Linked DNA regions of Mytilus edulis. The protein of the gene in region 2 purifies or fractionates together with the protein of the main gene of each other region. This does not show direct contact. Links are inferred from orthologs where the notes say so. Each region holds a gene or a part of one and is shown on either strand. Other genes may lie near its edges.

Evidence for each region. The genes of interacting proteins can lie anywhere in the genome.
Region 1: the proteins of leucine-rich repeat and calponin homology domain-containing protein 2-like (region 2) and dual specificity tyrosine-phosphorylation-regulated kinase 1B-like purify together in Homo sapiens (affinity purification with mass spectrometry; 3 studies listed by BioGRID and IntAct, counting the BioPlex papers as one, with this or other methods). This does not show direct contact. The link is inferred for Mytilus edulis from reciprocal best matches to the Homo sapiens genes LRCH3 and DYRK1A.

Annotation. Positions count from the first base shown.
Region 1 is NC_092348.1:79,382,737-79,389,865, reverse strand, and holds the start of dual specificity tyrosine-phosphorylation-regulated kinase 1B-like, read right to left. Parts: upstream 3,051-7,129; 5' UTR 2,473-3,050; coding exon 2,340-2,472; intron 1-2,339. UniProt on the Homo sapiens protein: Dual-specificity kinase which possesses both serine/threonine and tyrosine kinase activities. Exhibits a substrate preference for proline at position P+1 and arginine at position P-3.
Region 2 is NC_092346.1:79,333,849-79,341,180, forward strand, and holds the start of leucine-rich repeat and calponin homology domain-containing protein 2-like, read left to right. Parts: upstream 1-4,238; 5' UTR 4,239-4,302; coding exon 4,303-4,471; intron 4,472-7,332. UniProt on the Homo sapiens protein: As part of the DISP complex, may regulate the association of septins with actin and thereby regulate the actin cytoskeleton.

The DNA of each region.
Region 1 (7,129 bases), on a different chromosome or scaffold from region 2:
TTTTCATGGACTAACATTAAAGGCCCTTCAATTAGTTCAATATCTGGTTTTACTTAATATAAACTACAATCATGAACACAACTACCAACAGATGTCTTAGGGGGTAATGACATTTGTACACTTAAACCACCATTAAAAACAATACATATACATGCAAAATAAGTCAAACACTTATCCAATAAAAGTAGACTGATCTAAGAGACCGGCAAGATTAAATCCAAAAAAAGATTCAATTTATTTCATAAAGTGCAGTCAGAGCATTTGATTCAGTTGATCAAACTTATGTTTGAGACTGATCTATTATTCTAAGGAAAAATATAAAGACATATATAGATATAAGATGTGGCATGAGTGCCAATGAGACAACTCTCCTTTCAAGTCACATTTTGCAAAAAGTAAACTTATATATATATATTGGGTCTGAAATGATATCGAAATAAAAGTGTGTAAAATAAAAGTTATGGGCAATATGAGGTAATAAACAGCTGGTAATAAATGCGTAAAACTTTGCTTCATGTTTTCTTGATAAGAATCAATTGGAGCTAGTTCTGTGCTTTTTACTTTTACTATCAATGTAATACAATGTACCTCTAGACTAATGGTTCCCAAATGAAAGGTATTATACTCCAGTAGTCAAGGTTTTTGAACTTGGCAATTAATATAATCATTATATAATGTAGAGTATTTTGAAGATTTATAAAAACTTAGGAAAATGTATATGATGTTCGAAGAGAATTTCTGGTGCTAAAAATACAAAATTTGATGGTCCTGATCATGTCATTTATTCAATCAGAAAAAAAATAGGTAAGAGTTTTTGAAAACATTCACATTTTATTATGTTTTGATCTATTTAGTCCAAAAGAGGAACTTTTAAAACCATTTCCAGATCATGTAGTGGACATAAAGTTTTGCATGTGATTGTTTATTCAAAATCAATAATTTGTCCAGCAATGTTTGTACAGTGCAAGATAATGAAGGGATTATACTATAGGCTCTTTATGATCTTGCAATTAAAAAGTCAATCTAACTGCATTATTTATTTGTCAACCAGTCTGCAGCTTTATTAGGTATAAAGACAGAAAAGGTCTTAATAACAATACCTGACCTTAAATTCTTGAGTTTACATAATATATCAAAATTACATTCTTGTTTATCTCTAATAAAGACAGGATATTTCCTGGTTCTACATTCCTTACATGCCATACATATTCAGATGTCTTCCATCATATTGTTTACAGCTGGCTACACATGAATGAGCACTGAGTTTCCCACAATACAAATTATAAACTTAATTTAACTACTTTGTACATAATTTAAGTGAAATCACAAAGAAAATACAATGTTTTCACATGGGAAATTTCATGGCTCCTTTGATAAAGATTGACCAAGCATTCATTACTTCATCTATGGCCAATTGTAGGTAGTTATTTCAGTTCAATGGTCAAATTTAAATCTTCAGCAGTTTAAAAAGGTCATTCAGATTTGTATTTTGAATTCAGTGTCTCCTTACTTTACATTACTGATGTTCAAAAGAAGCCAGATTATTCAAGTATTGTAGACTGACATTCTTTAAACATGTGTATTGTCTTACTCTTGACTAATGAACTGAAACATTCAAATTGAAATATGAACAGTAAAAGTTAAATTTTAAGGTTTAAAATTGATTGTCTAGACAAGAAAACAAAAATAATGCCTGGATAACATTATATCTATTGCAAAAAAGTATTGATGTACTATCTGACATCAGAGCATCCCAACTAAAGTATGTGTGGTATGTTACCAGTCATATATACACAGCTGGTACATGAATCAGCTGACTGAGGAGGTCCCCCACAGGGCAACTTATATTCTATGTTACAATTAAAATCCCTGGGGTCAATCAGATGAAATAAATATTTGTCAGGGGAGTTTTCTGTCATATACAAGAATTTGACAACTTGTGTCTGCTGTCAATCTTGAATGGATTGAAGGGTGTTGTTGTTTATGTATTTGTTTTTGTCATTATGTATGATGATTAATAGATAAGTAAGTTCTCCTTACTTATCCCCTAAGATGAGGTAACTATTTATCTTAATCTAGATACCTGATTTCCTAAATACAAAAGATCAGAACTGATAATATAATGAGAAATTTACACTTTTTGATCTCCCATTAAAAATTTGTATGGTCCCATTCAGAAAAGATATTGGTCACTTTACAGAGGCTATTTAATTCAAAATCTTGGTCAAGGACACCTACATAGGTATGACTGTACATCTAACATGCATACCCTACAAGTGATGTATAAACCATTAACACAAAAAGAATAGTAATGAAATAGAGAAGTTTTGTATACTAACGTTTGAGACGCATGGCTTGTAAATGGTACTCCTGTTCCTGTCTTAGCCAGTGCCCACGGTTTGACAACATACGATCATCCATGGCACTATCCATGACCAATAATTTGTTTTCACCACTTTCCTCATGAACCATTAGAATTAAATTTTATATCCTTACTTGTCCTGTCAAAGTATGTCAATGTTTTCCTGATGCAGACAAACAATTTTTTTCACTAATTATATGCAACTTTTAAAACATGCCAGTCCTGATATATCCATATGAACACAAAATGCATCAGATATGTTTTATATAATATCTTGATTTGTTGAGAACACCAAAGAAGTAGTATTGCACAGTGTAAATATCAATAAACTCTATAAAATATCAACAATAATAACAAATAAACAAACTATTGCAAGGATCCCAGGCCTTCACTTAAAATCCATCATAAAGGAAGTAAGACCATATTATGGTGCTGTGAACTCAAATGACCTCCATGGTAGACAGTCAAATTATTCACATCCTTAATGAGCCCTTTTTGCACAAGAAAATAATCCATAACAAATAATGGTCCAATACAGGGCAATGAAGGTGTTAAATTAAGGACACTTCAGGTCACTTTATGTCCCTGTAAAATTTACAGCAAAGCACCTGACAACACAGTGACAGAGGAGCCATAATTGGATCAAAGATGATATGTGCCTGAGGTTACTGACTGTTATCAGCCAATCAGATTCCTTCTTACATCCATTATCTGGATGTAAAATGTTGTCTGGTCAATATGTAATGAGAAGTCTAGAGGAGATATAGAGGCTCCCTAAGGGTGTGTGACATTATGTAATAACCATTTTTCCAGTTAATTTACTTAGGAAAGCTGTTAAGATGCTCTGATATATAAATAAAATGTAAACATTTTGTTTAGAAATAGTTTGAATAACACTTATCAGGTATTTATAACAAATTTGAATATTTTGTTAGATAACGAATAAATAATTATTTACAATATTTTGATAATCAACAGCTCATGCGATTTGAATTTTATGAACTAAAAGGAGGTATGTATAAGTACCAGTACCTAAAAAAAAGTTTCTATAAATATATTTAATATAAGCAAACAGCAAATGAAACACAAAACTCTGAATTAATCTAATGGGGATCTCTAGAAGTGTTTTTCTTTTCTTTATTATGGTTGGGCTAAAAAAAGGAGGGTACATGTAGGTACAGATTTTTTTTTATTTTACCATTTTTGTTTCATTGAGTGTATGGGATGGACATTCTGACTTTAATAGTGCTCATTGAAAAATGACCCAAAAAACTTTAAGGTAGGCTATTTTTTATTTTTGATAATAGGGAAGGTAGGGTAAAAGGAAACACAACTTTTTTTATTTGGCCTTGGTGGTCTGCTTTCTCCTTTTTAGAAAGGATTCCTTTGGATTTTGTTTAAGAAAAAAAAGTAAATATATTTTATTTAACTCCAATTCAGTACTTCATATATTTCTAGCTCCAAATTTTTTAGAGCTTTCTATTATGTATAATTGTATATCAAAAATTCTAATTGAAAAAAATTAATTGTGGATTTTTCAGAAGCAATTCGAAAAATATTCCATCAAAACCAGTTATAAAACAATTCTAAATTGTTCTTACCCCCTATGCAATGCAATAATAGGAAAAATTTGAAGATACAATGTACATTCTTTAAAACTTTTTGGGGTAACAAAAAATTACATGTGTAATTCCAGTTTAGTCCTACAAAAAGGGGACATTGGGTGTGCATTTTTTTTATTGTCAAAAATCAGTTCAATTATTTCACATGCGCCTGTTGGAGGTAACAATTTATAGCTAAATAGAAATTTCAGTTGCCAAAAATCTGCAAATTAATTATTGAAATTCACATTCAACAAAATGGGATCATTTAACAATTATTTTTTCCGAAATGGATTCTTTTGCTTTTCTATTGGCAAATTAAGTTTCTCCCCCTGGCTTTTCAAATCTGCAATTAAATAAATGGGAATTGTGTCCATGGGACACAGAAGATCCCCCCACTTATCTTATAAAGTTACAAAGGGAAATAACTGAAGAAAAATAAAAGTGATGCTACCCAAATGTGTACTTGATCTGAGTTTCAGAGGCGGATCCAGGGGGGGGGGGGGGGGGGTTCCGGGGGTGCGCACCCCCCCTTTATTTTTGCCGATCAATGCATTTGTATCGGGACATATGTTTTGCACCCCCCCTTTGCCCTGGGTTAGCACACCCCCTTTCGAAAATTCCTGCATCCGCCCCCGAGTTTTGAGGTAATAGTATTAGTGTTTCCTACAGGTGGTTTTGGCGTGTAATGGCGCCCTGTTGTGAATAAGTTTCATAACATTTGGTAGAGGTGAACTCAAGATAGAAAAGGTAAACAAAAAATCAGCAATGTTTCAATCAATATTATAAACAAGCATAACTCTAGAACAGTAAAAGTGACATCATCAAATTCAAACTTGATGTGCATTTTAAAGTTAAAAGCATTGTGTATATGTTTCGTAGCATTTGGTTGAGGCAAACTAAAGTAAGAGAACGCAGAATTCTCCATTTGTACAGGAGCATAACTCTAGAATGGTTGAAAGTGACACCACCAAAATGCAAACTTGATCTGTGTTTTGTGGTAATAAGCATAGTGTATAAGTTTCATAACATTTGGTAGAGGCAAACTAAAGTTGGAGAACAAAAACGAAAAAAATTCAGCAATTTTTCCATTTGCAAAGGGATATATACCTTTAGAATGGTTAAAATGATGACACCAAAATTCAAATTTGATCTGTGTTTTGTGGTTGAATCTGTAATAAGCACTGCATATAAAATTATATAACATATGGTTGAGCAGGGTTTGAAATTAGCATAGATGCCAACCCCCTTTTGACACAATCAGTAACAAACTATCAAATTTTCCGTATTTTTGAAAAGTTTTCAGTAATCATTTATATTAAACGTGCATTTACCAATCAAAATTACTGACGAGTGGTTGCAAAGTGATGTACACTAAAATTTGTCATTTAACATGTTGTCTGTAGTATGTATTCCATTCATTAATTGTTCAGATGCTCTCGACTCAAACATTTTTGTTTTGTCAAGGAGAAGTAGAGAAAGGGAAAAAGCTACTTAATAAAATGCAAGTTTGACTCTTCGGAAGTCAATTAGTTACCCAACAATAGGTTGATAACTCCCGAGAAACCGGAAGCATTAGATTGGCGTTTCCTAAATACTGGACCCGGACGGAAAAGTAATGATAAAAATCCGCGTTTTACAAAATTGAACGTCGGTGATTGGGAATCCGTAACTATTCGACTTTGACCGTAATAGCGTAGTTTATATCGCAAAATCGGAAAAACTACGGAAAAATCGTAATAGTTGGCATCTATGAATTAACAGGGGCCCACTTGCCAATGGCCCCTACAATTTAGTGTGCCAGGGCTCCTAAAGTTTCTGCTTTTCTTGTATTTAACTGTATATATTGGCTACCATTGCCAAACTTTAACGGAAACCACTGTGGTTGAGGCAAACTAAAGTGAAAGATCGCAAACCAACTTTGGGACAAGGAGAAAACATAATGCTCCTCCGCTACTGCAGGGGCATGAAATAAGTGTTTTGTAAAATAGACTTCTTATAATGAACAGAAGTAAACAATGAATTTCAGATTAACAGAAAACTGGATGTTTTAACATATTTTATTTGTGTCCTGGCATTTTTCAATATCACAAGAATCAAAACTCCTGAATGGTAAAAGTGACATGTACAATCATCAATATTTGACTTCAACTTGACCTTCATTTTTCACAAGTTACAACATATATTAAAATTTTAAAAGCTTTGATTGAATGGTTCATGAGTTAAAGCATGATCATGACTGCAAACACCATTTTTCAATCTGTCAAGAAACAACTCCTGAACGGTGAAAGTAAAAATCGTCAATATCAAACTTGACATCCATTTTGTCATCAGAATCATTACAACATACAAGATGTGAGAAGCTTTGGTAGAACAGTTCATGAGAAAATGCATGGACACCGTTTGGCAGTCACCTGCCTCGATGTTGCAAGAATAAATTAGAACTTTTAGTTGGCAGCTTATAAAAAATTTAGTGTTCTTGTTAGAACTGCTATACATTTGTCATGTTGGGCCTTTCACAGCTTGCAATGTGGTATGAATTTCTCTGAATATTTACAAATTGAAAGTACCACCTACAAACATCAGTCAACACTAGATATTTACAAAACCTCAGGGTTGCTAATAATTGACTAATTCCTTGTTGTGTCTGTTTGGGTTAATCAACCAATTTTGTTAATATATGGGAACTTAGTATGAAGATCTCTCATACAAGTGGGAGGTAAAGCTAGCTATAAAGCAATGGTTAACCTACCATTTTCTTCTGGAATACATCTGTGCCAAAGTTATTAATATGATATTTGTTTTCCACTCGATACATGTATGATAGATAATATCGTTTGATTGTCAGTTTGTATGGACCTTCCTTATATAATTTAAAAGTTTTTAGGTTTACCTGGAGGTTAAAGTTTTTGCTTATTTTTTACATTGTAAGGTCATTCATGACCTGACGAAAAAATTCTAGCTATTACATCATTTGATCTCTAATGAAGAGTTGTCTCACTGGCAATCATACATCTTTTTATTTTTCTATATCCACTGCATGATCTAAAAGAAAAGTCTGACAACTCTGAAATGACCCATTGGATATCTAAATAAAAGAAATATCTCTTTCTTTATTTCAATTACAACAACTTAAGCCAAGATTTAAAAAAATTGTTGGTTTAAG
Region 2 (7,332 bases):
ATATAAATCATCAAATATTCAGTTATCTTCAAGTCAGTTGAAAAATAATGGTTTAAACTTTCATAATTTACTGCCATTAAAACCCTTTCCTCTCAATAAAACAAATCATCAGGTTAAAAGTATAAATGCATTGCGAAAAAACAAATGTTTCATCAATGAAATTCAAGTCAGATATTCTCATGAATATCCTTTTTATATTAGATACAATTTTTTTCAAGTCTGATAAAGTTTTGTCGTAGGCAATATATTTGAACTGAGGCACTACACAGGCGTTGAAAGGCGTCATTATGGAGGAAAGATTTAAAAAACAAGGCATTTTTCTAACATTTTAAATTTGCATTGTAATTCCTGATCACAGGAAATAGCTGATCAATTTTTTAAAACAATACAATATTTTGCCAGTTATTTTTATTTTCTTAATCTGTGGAATAAAACATGACTATTTTGCAATTTTCTCAACATGTTTTAGTTCAAGACTGAATACACTTTCAATAGAAAAAATAAAGGCCCTTAAAACACACTTTTGGTATGAAATAAAGACTTAAACATAGTCATTATACATGCATGAAGATTAAAGAACAGTTTTTTTTGTCAACTATGTATAAATAAACAGTTCTTAGAATATTTCAGAGTTAAATAATATAATGGAAATGCTGTTAATATATACCTTTTATAAAATAAAGCTTACACATCAACATACAAAATTAACATCGAGTGAAAGGTTAACAAAATATATATCATCTAAGAAATGTGATGAAAAAAAATAATAATGTACAAAATTTAAATCATGTTATAAATGTACAAATTTCATGAATTGGAAACTAGTCATTTTACAGCTTAATATTATACAGAGTTATTTTGTCCCCTAGATCCAAGAGATATATGTTTGACAAATTTCTTGGTTTCTTTTTACTGCATCTATAAAGAGCAGCATGAAAAAGAATATGGTTTGTCATAGAAATTTACACATGGCATATTTTTTACATTAGTGACCATAAAACTGAATGAATAGAAACAAAAGTGATGCTGTCAATTATTGGAGTTTAAACTGTATCTATGTAGATTCAAAGAAGATTTTTTTTTTAAAAGCAGATTGCCTATAGTAGCAAAATTATCACAGAAAAAAACTTATACATTGTTTATATTGATAAACATTTACAAACATTATTGAACTAAGGTCATGCTTCATATGCTTTTAAAAAAAAATCATTATTTTACGAAATATCAGCGAAATGTTGCTACTTTTTTGTTCTGGTTTGAAATAAAAGTATGTTGAAGTAATAGTTGGGCCAAGAAAATGTTTTGATAATTTTTTTGGGATTGTATTATTTTAAGTGAACTGTTATGGCGTATTTGATCCATACTTCAATTAGTATGGTGTCGGCAATCATTATGATGTTGAAATTTTAAAATGGGGAAACATTTTCTCCACAAAAACTCATAAAATAAATGTGATAACTTAAATTTTGTGTTGTTTTCAGTCATATTATTACTAGATAATAGATTGTCCTGTAATTATTAGAAATAAATTTGTCATATTCATAGATATAAGAAGATGAGGTATGAGTGCCAATGAGACAACTCTCCATCCAAGTCACAATTTATAAAAGTAAACCATTATATGTCAAAGTACTGTCTCAACACGAAGCTTTGGCTCACACCAAACAGCAAGTTATAAAGGGCCCCAAAAAATAATTAGTGTAAAACCATTCAGACGGGAAAACCAGCAATCTATATAAAAAACAAGAAACGAAAAACAATTATGAATCACATCAACAAACCACAACTACAGAACATAAGAAACCTGACTTACGACAGGTGCAATCAATTGCCGCAGGTTTAAATGTTTGAATGGTACCAAACCTAAACCTGGCTCACACCGAACAGCATTAAGCTATATAAATTATCAAAGGTACCAGGATTATAATTTAATATGCAAGACGCATACATGAGACTCATCAGTGACACTCAAAATAGTTAAAAAGCCAAACGGGTACAAAGTTGAAGAGCATTGAGGACCCAAAATTCAAAAAAGTTGTGCCAAATACGGCTAAGGTAATCTATTCATGGAATTAGAAAATCCTTTTTTTTTCTCGAAAAATTCAAAGTTTTGTAACAGGAAATTTATAAATATGGCCATATATATCTTGTCAACACCGAAGTGCTGACTACTGGGCTTGTGATACCCTGTGGGACGAAACGTCCACCAGCAGTGGCATCGACCCAGTGGTGTAAATAGTCATCAAAGGTACCAGGATTATAATTTTATCCCCAGACGCGTCTCCTCTACATACGACTCATCAGTGACACTAATATATATAAGCCAAATGACGTCTTCAACACCAAGCCTTGGCTCACACTGAACAGAATTAAGCTATATAAGCCAAAGTACGTCCTTCAACACGAAGCCTTGGCTCACACCGAACAGCAAGCTATAAAGAGCCCCAAAATGACTTGTGTAAACCTATTCAAACAGGAAAACCAACAGTCTAATCTATATTTAAAAAAAACGAGAAGCGTGTATGAACCTCACCAACAAATGACCACCATTGAACAACATGTTCTTATCTATTGGTAATGTTGTTCCACAGAGTAATTGCTATTTGACAGTTTGATTATTTGGAGTCTGGTACTTACCTGGGTGCCATCATCATGGTATTCATGGCCATATATATCTTGTCAACACCGAAGTGCTGACTACTGGGCTTGTGATACCCTGTGGGACGAAACGTCCACCAGCAGTGGCATCGACCCAGTGGTGTAAATAGTCATCAAAGGTACCAGGATTATAATTTTATCCCCAGACGCGTCTCCTCTACATACGACTCATCAGTGACACTAATATATATAAGCCAAAGTACGTCTTCAACACCAAGCCTTGGCTCACACTGAACAGAATTAAGCTATATAAGCCAAAGTACGTCCTTCAACACGAAGCCTTGGCTCACACCGAACAGCAAGCTATAAAAGGCCCCAAAATGACTTGTGTAAACCTATTCAAACAGGAAAACCAACGGTCTAATCTATATTTAATTGAGTGTCTTCTGAATAGTGTGGTAATTGTCCAAATTCCAAATGATGATTTTGATTGAAAAAAAGTGGTCTTTGAATTTTTTGAAATGTTCAGATATATCAGCTTGGATAATTTGCTTCAGCTTAGAAAGCTCTGATTTCGAGAAGCTTGGGGTTTCTGCAATTACTTTTTGAATCAGCTGATACAATAAGAATAACAATGTAAAAAAAACTTAAATTAGCTTAATCGATCCTTTGATGGTATGTTCTGTAATGCAAAATATGCATTTTTTATAGATTTTTAATGATAACTTGGATTGCATTTTTTCTAACACAAACCATGCAAACGGCTAAGCGTGCATGTGTTTTGATCATTTCTTTCAAACATATGTTTGTAAAGTTTGCATAAACTTTGACAAACTAGGCAAACGATAAAAATGCGTCTGCAGTTAGTTGTTTGTTAGGACACACACTACATTTGTTTCTTACTTCAATCTGATTAAACGAAGTATTTGTTTCTATGCGTTTGTAGAAAGTCTGTTTACCAACAACATGTGCATGCCTTATTGAAGTTCAAACAGGGTCAGTAAAGACTTATTAAACGATGTATTTGTTTCTACTTTTGTAGCGTTTAGAAAACAACAACAAACGCGACACAACATTTACAAAAAGAAATGCGGCCTTCATATTGAAATTTTATTGATCTTGAAAACTTTATTTGAATTCGGCATGATATCAAACAATGAAACCGATTTGACTGAATATGAAAACCTGAGACTACTATAACACATATACCACATAGTGTTATAGTAGTCTCAGATGAAAACATATAAAAAAATGTTTCAAAACATGATGTACATATAACACATAAAGCGATGAATTATCTAAAAAGTAAGGTTTCTGTGAAAGTTTACAAGGAACTGCTGTCTCTCACTGAATCCTAAACATGAGATTTCTAACAAGACTAAACAGAAGGATGTCTGGTATTATTATGTCCCCTTTTTTATAAATGCAACACACTGGGACAATAAAATTATAAGAAATTTACTGATAGAAAAGCTGATAATGAAACTAAACAATTTAAATTGCAAGCTGGTTATGATACAAATAGAAAAAAATATTCCAAGTAAAAAGTAGATACTGTATAATTAAATTATAATAAAAGTATAACTTTTAGTAAGTTGTGCTTTTTGTGAAAGCTTTTACTTTTTTCTATACAGGGAACCAGTGTAAAATTTATGTTAAAGTCGTGCGCTTGCGCATAATCTGAATCCAACATGAAAGTACAAAATGGCGACAACATTCAGCACCGGAACACAGAGCCCAACATCACATAAACCCCTAGAAAAGATTTTCGACGAAGCTCAGTCAACCGGGGCAGTGTGTTTATGTGGCAGAAAATTAAGAGAATATCCAAAGATCTCGTCTAGATATGATTTAGTTGATACAATCTCTGCTGGTGAGTGCCCCTTCGACTTCCCCAGTCAACCAGTGTTTACAAAATTATGTTGGTTTATTGTAGTAAAAAGTTGTCAACCAGCGTATTTTGTATATTGCTAAGCAAATATCATCTTCGTCCCCTCTCATGTCCATGAATTTATATGTTATGGTTATACACACTAAATCCAAATTTCCTTGACAGTCTGGACGTTCCATGATACTGATAGTTGATATCATAATATAATTTTTGGAGTATTTCAAATTGTCTTACTGCAAAATTATTTTATTATTATTTAACTTATATTCATACATGTGAATTTTTGCTGTAGCCTGTTTTATCAGTTAAAAGAAAAACTAGCCACACTGAAACAGGTTTCCCATAAAAGGCTCAATATATAGTGGCCATCAATAAGGCTTTGGAGCACAGCTAAGGTTGAGTCTTGAGAGAGTGGTTTCTCAAGTAAAGCGTATCAAATATAATCATAGATATAGGCTTAAGCAATCAACAACTGACATTATCAAGATGCTTTATTTCTTGATTGACAACATATTTGTGACATTTGGAGAACTTGTTTTTCAACAAACTATCAGGGCCTTTTATAGCTGACTATGCGGTATGGGCTTTGCACAATGTTGAATGCTGTACAATGACCTATAGTTATTAATTTCTGTGTCATTTTGGTCTCTCATGGGGAGTTTTCTCATTGGCAATCATACCACATCTTCTTTTTTTATATCTGCATTCAGATGGGAACTAACTGTGCCCCTCTTCTTGTCGACTTGTTCCTGTACAGGAATTTCTTAAGAAGTTAGAATTATCCTTTAACTTTACTTTCTGATGGAAAGATGATGTGGAAGCAGGAAAAATTGCTGCTTTTTCACCAACTCGTCCCACTTTAAAAAAAATCGGAACACTTGTGAAAAGGGTTGCATGTACATCCCGTAAATTTTTCTCCTGCCAACTTGCCCCACTTAAAGGGGCACTAGCTAGGAGATATATAAAAAATCTTATACATTATTATTTTTGCACAATCATTAGTGAAATGCAAATAGTGAAATAAGATTTCACTTTTAGCACCCAGTATGTACATGTATGGTTCAATTTTGTCAAAATAAGCGACAAAAACATTAATTAATAAGTGATGAATGTGTCAGCGAGTGTGTTTAGCTTGGGTCGGCGTTTTCAATCTCCAAGTCACAATGGAAGAGCGTATATAAATGAAGACTTTCATGACTTTAGAATTGAATTTAAGTCATCAAAATAAAACTATGCCTTTACAGAAATGCCTTCCATCTCAACTTGTTAGCGACAAGCACAGTTTTTAATTAACCCAAAGGTGGTGGAAATTGATTTTGGAGTTACTTCCCCTGTTTTAGCTTATTACAAATTTGTGCTCTAAAAATATTATCTAGTATCAAAAAAAGGAATAAATTACCAATTGAATATATAATAACATAATAATGTTACCTTAAAGATATTAACTGTCTTTGAACATATTAAAAAATATATATTGCAATTTCTACTTGATAATTATACTTTTAGCAATCCATGTTCTAAACATTGTTAAATTAGTAAGGCTTTCAAGTTCATTTCTTACCGACCGTGCCAGGGCTGTATAGCCAGTCAAGGTCGTTAAACACCACCATATATATATCAGTTCATATGATGTATTAAAAGCTATAATTTCTATATAGATAAAAAAAAAACAAAAAAAAAAACACATATTCTTTGATAATGGGTAGAGTGAAGTTAAACTGTAAAAACATGATATGTTGATGAAGATGTACTATATCATTCATAACTACACAAACAATGAAATAAAGACTATAGTTGAAAAGCATCTTTATTTAAAAAAAACAACATATACAGTAAAAAAAAAAAAAGAGATTCGTTAACTCGTGATACACACAGAAACGTAGACAAAAAAAATGAGCAGTGCCTTTTCTTATCATAAAAAGTGCCCTGCCCTCCACTGGCACCCTGCCCCTTTTGATTTCTAGCTAGAGCACTGATTATGAATTATCCACTTGCAAGTGAATAATTCAACCTCATTAAATCGGTTTTAATGTGAGCTTCAACTAAACCCCTTAGCTTGAGATGGATAACATGTGAATTGTATGTGTAAAGTTATTTAAAGGAAAAGAATGTCAACATTGAAAGTGAAACAAAGGTAAATCATTTGATTGACTGATTAGATTCACAAAAAAGTCATTGTTACACAGGTAAAAACAATGATAAACATTTATTTTATCATGTGAAATTAAATAGACCTAGAAAAATCCAGCAACATGAGTTTGCTAATTTATTTATATCTATAATATATATATATGTTTACATCGCTTATATGGTCATCAGATGACTTTAGAGGTCAACTCAATAGTTAAGATGGTACCTAACACTACAGGGAGATAACTCTGTAAAATCAGCAAAACTTTTTGATTACATTGTGTGGTTAATGTAATATTAAGCTTCTCAATGATCAGAATAAGTTTTTGACAAACTGCAATACAACAAGTGTATTTTTTCTGATTAAATGGTTGGTTCAAATTTTTATACCTTTGTCAAAGGGTCAAAGTAAACACTATGTTAGAATTGAAATAAAGTTAAACGAGCCAAATTATTTTAGGCCGTGTTCACACCAAACACCGTGTAGAGTAAACATGTTTACAATTAGTTTAGTGTAGTGTGCACTGGTTTCACATTACATTTGTTCACATCTATACACCTTGTTTAGCTACCTGTACATAAGATTTGTTCTCACTTGTAAACTATGTGTCATTTAAATGTTCATTACGTAGAACTGAATTCAAAATTTTGGGACAATTTTTCTAGCGGTAAGGGAACAACCATTTGACTTCAAATGGGGGGGGGGGGGGGGG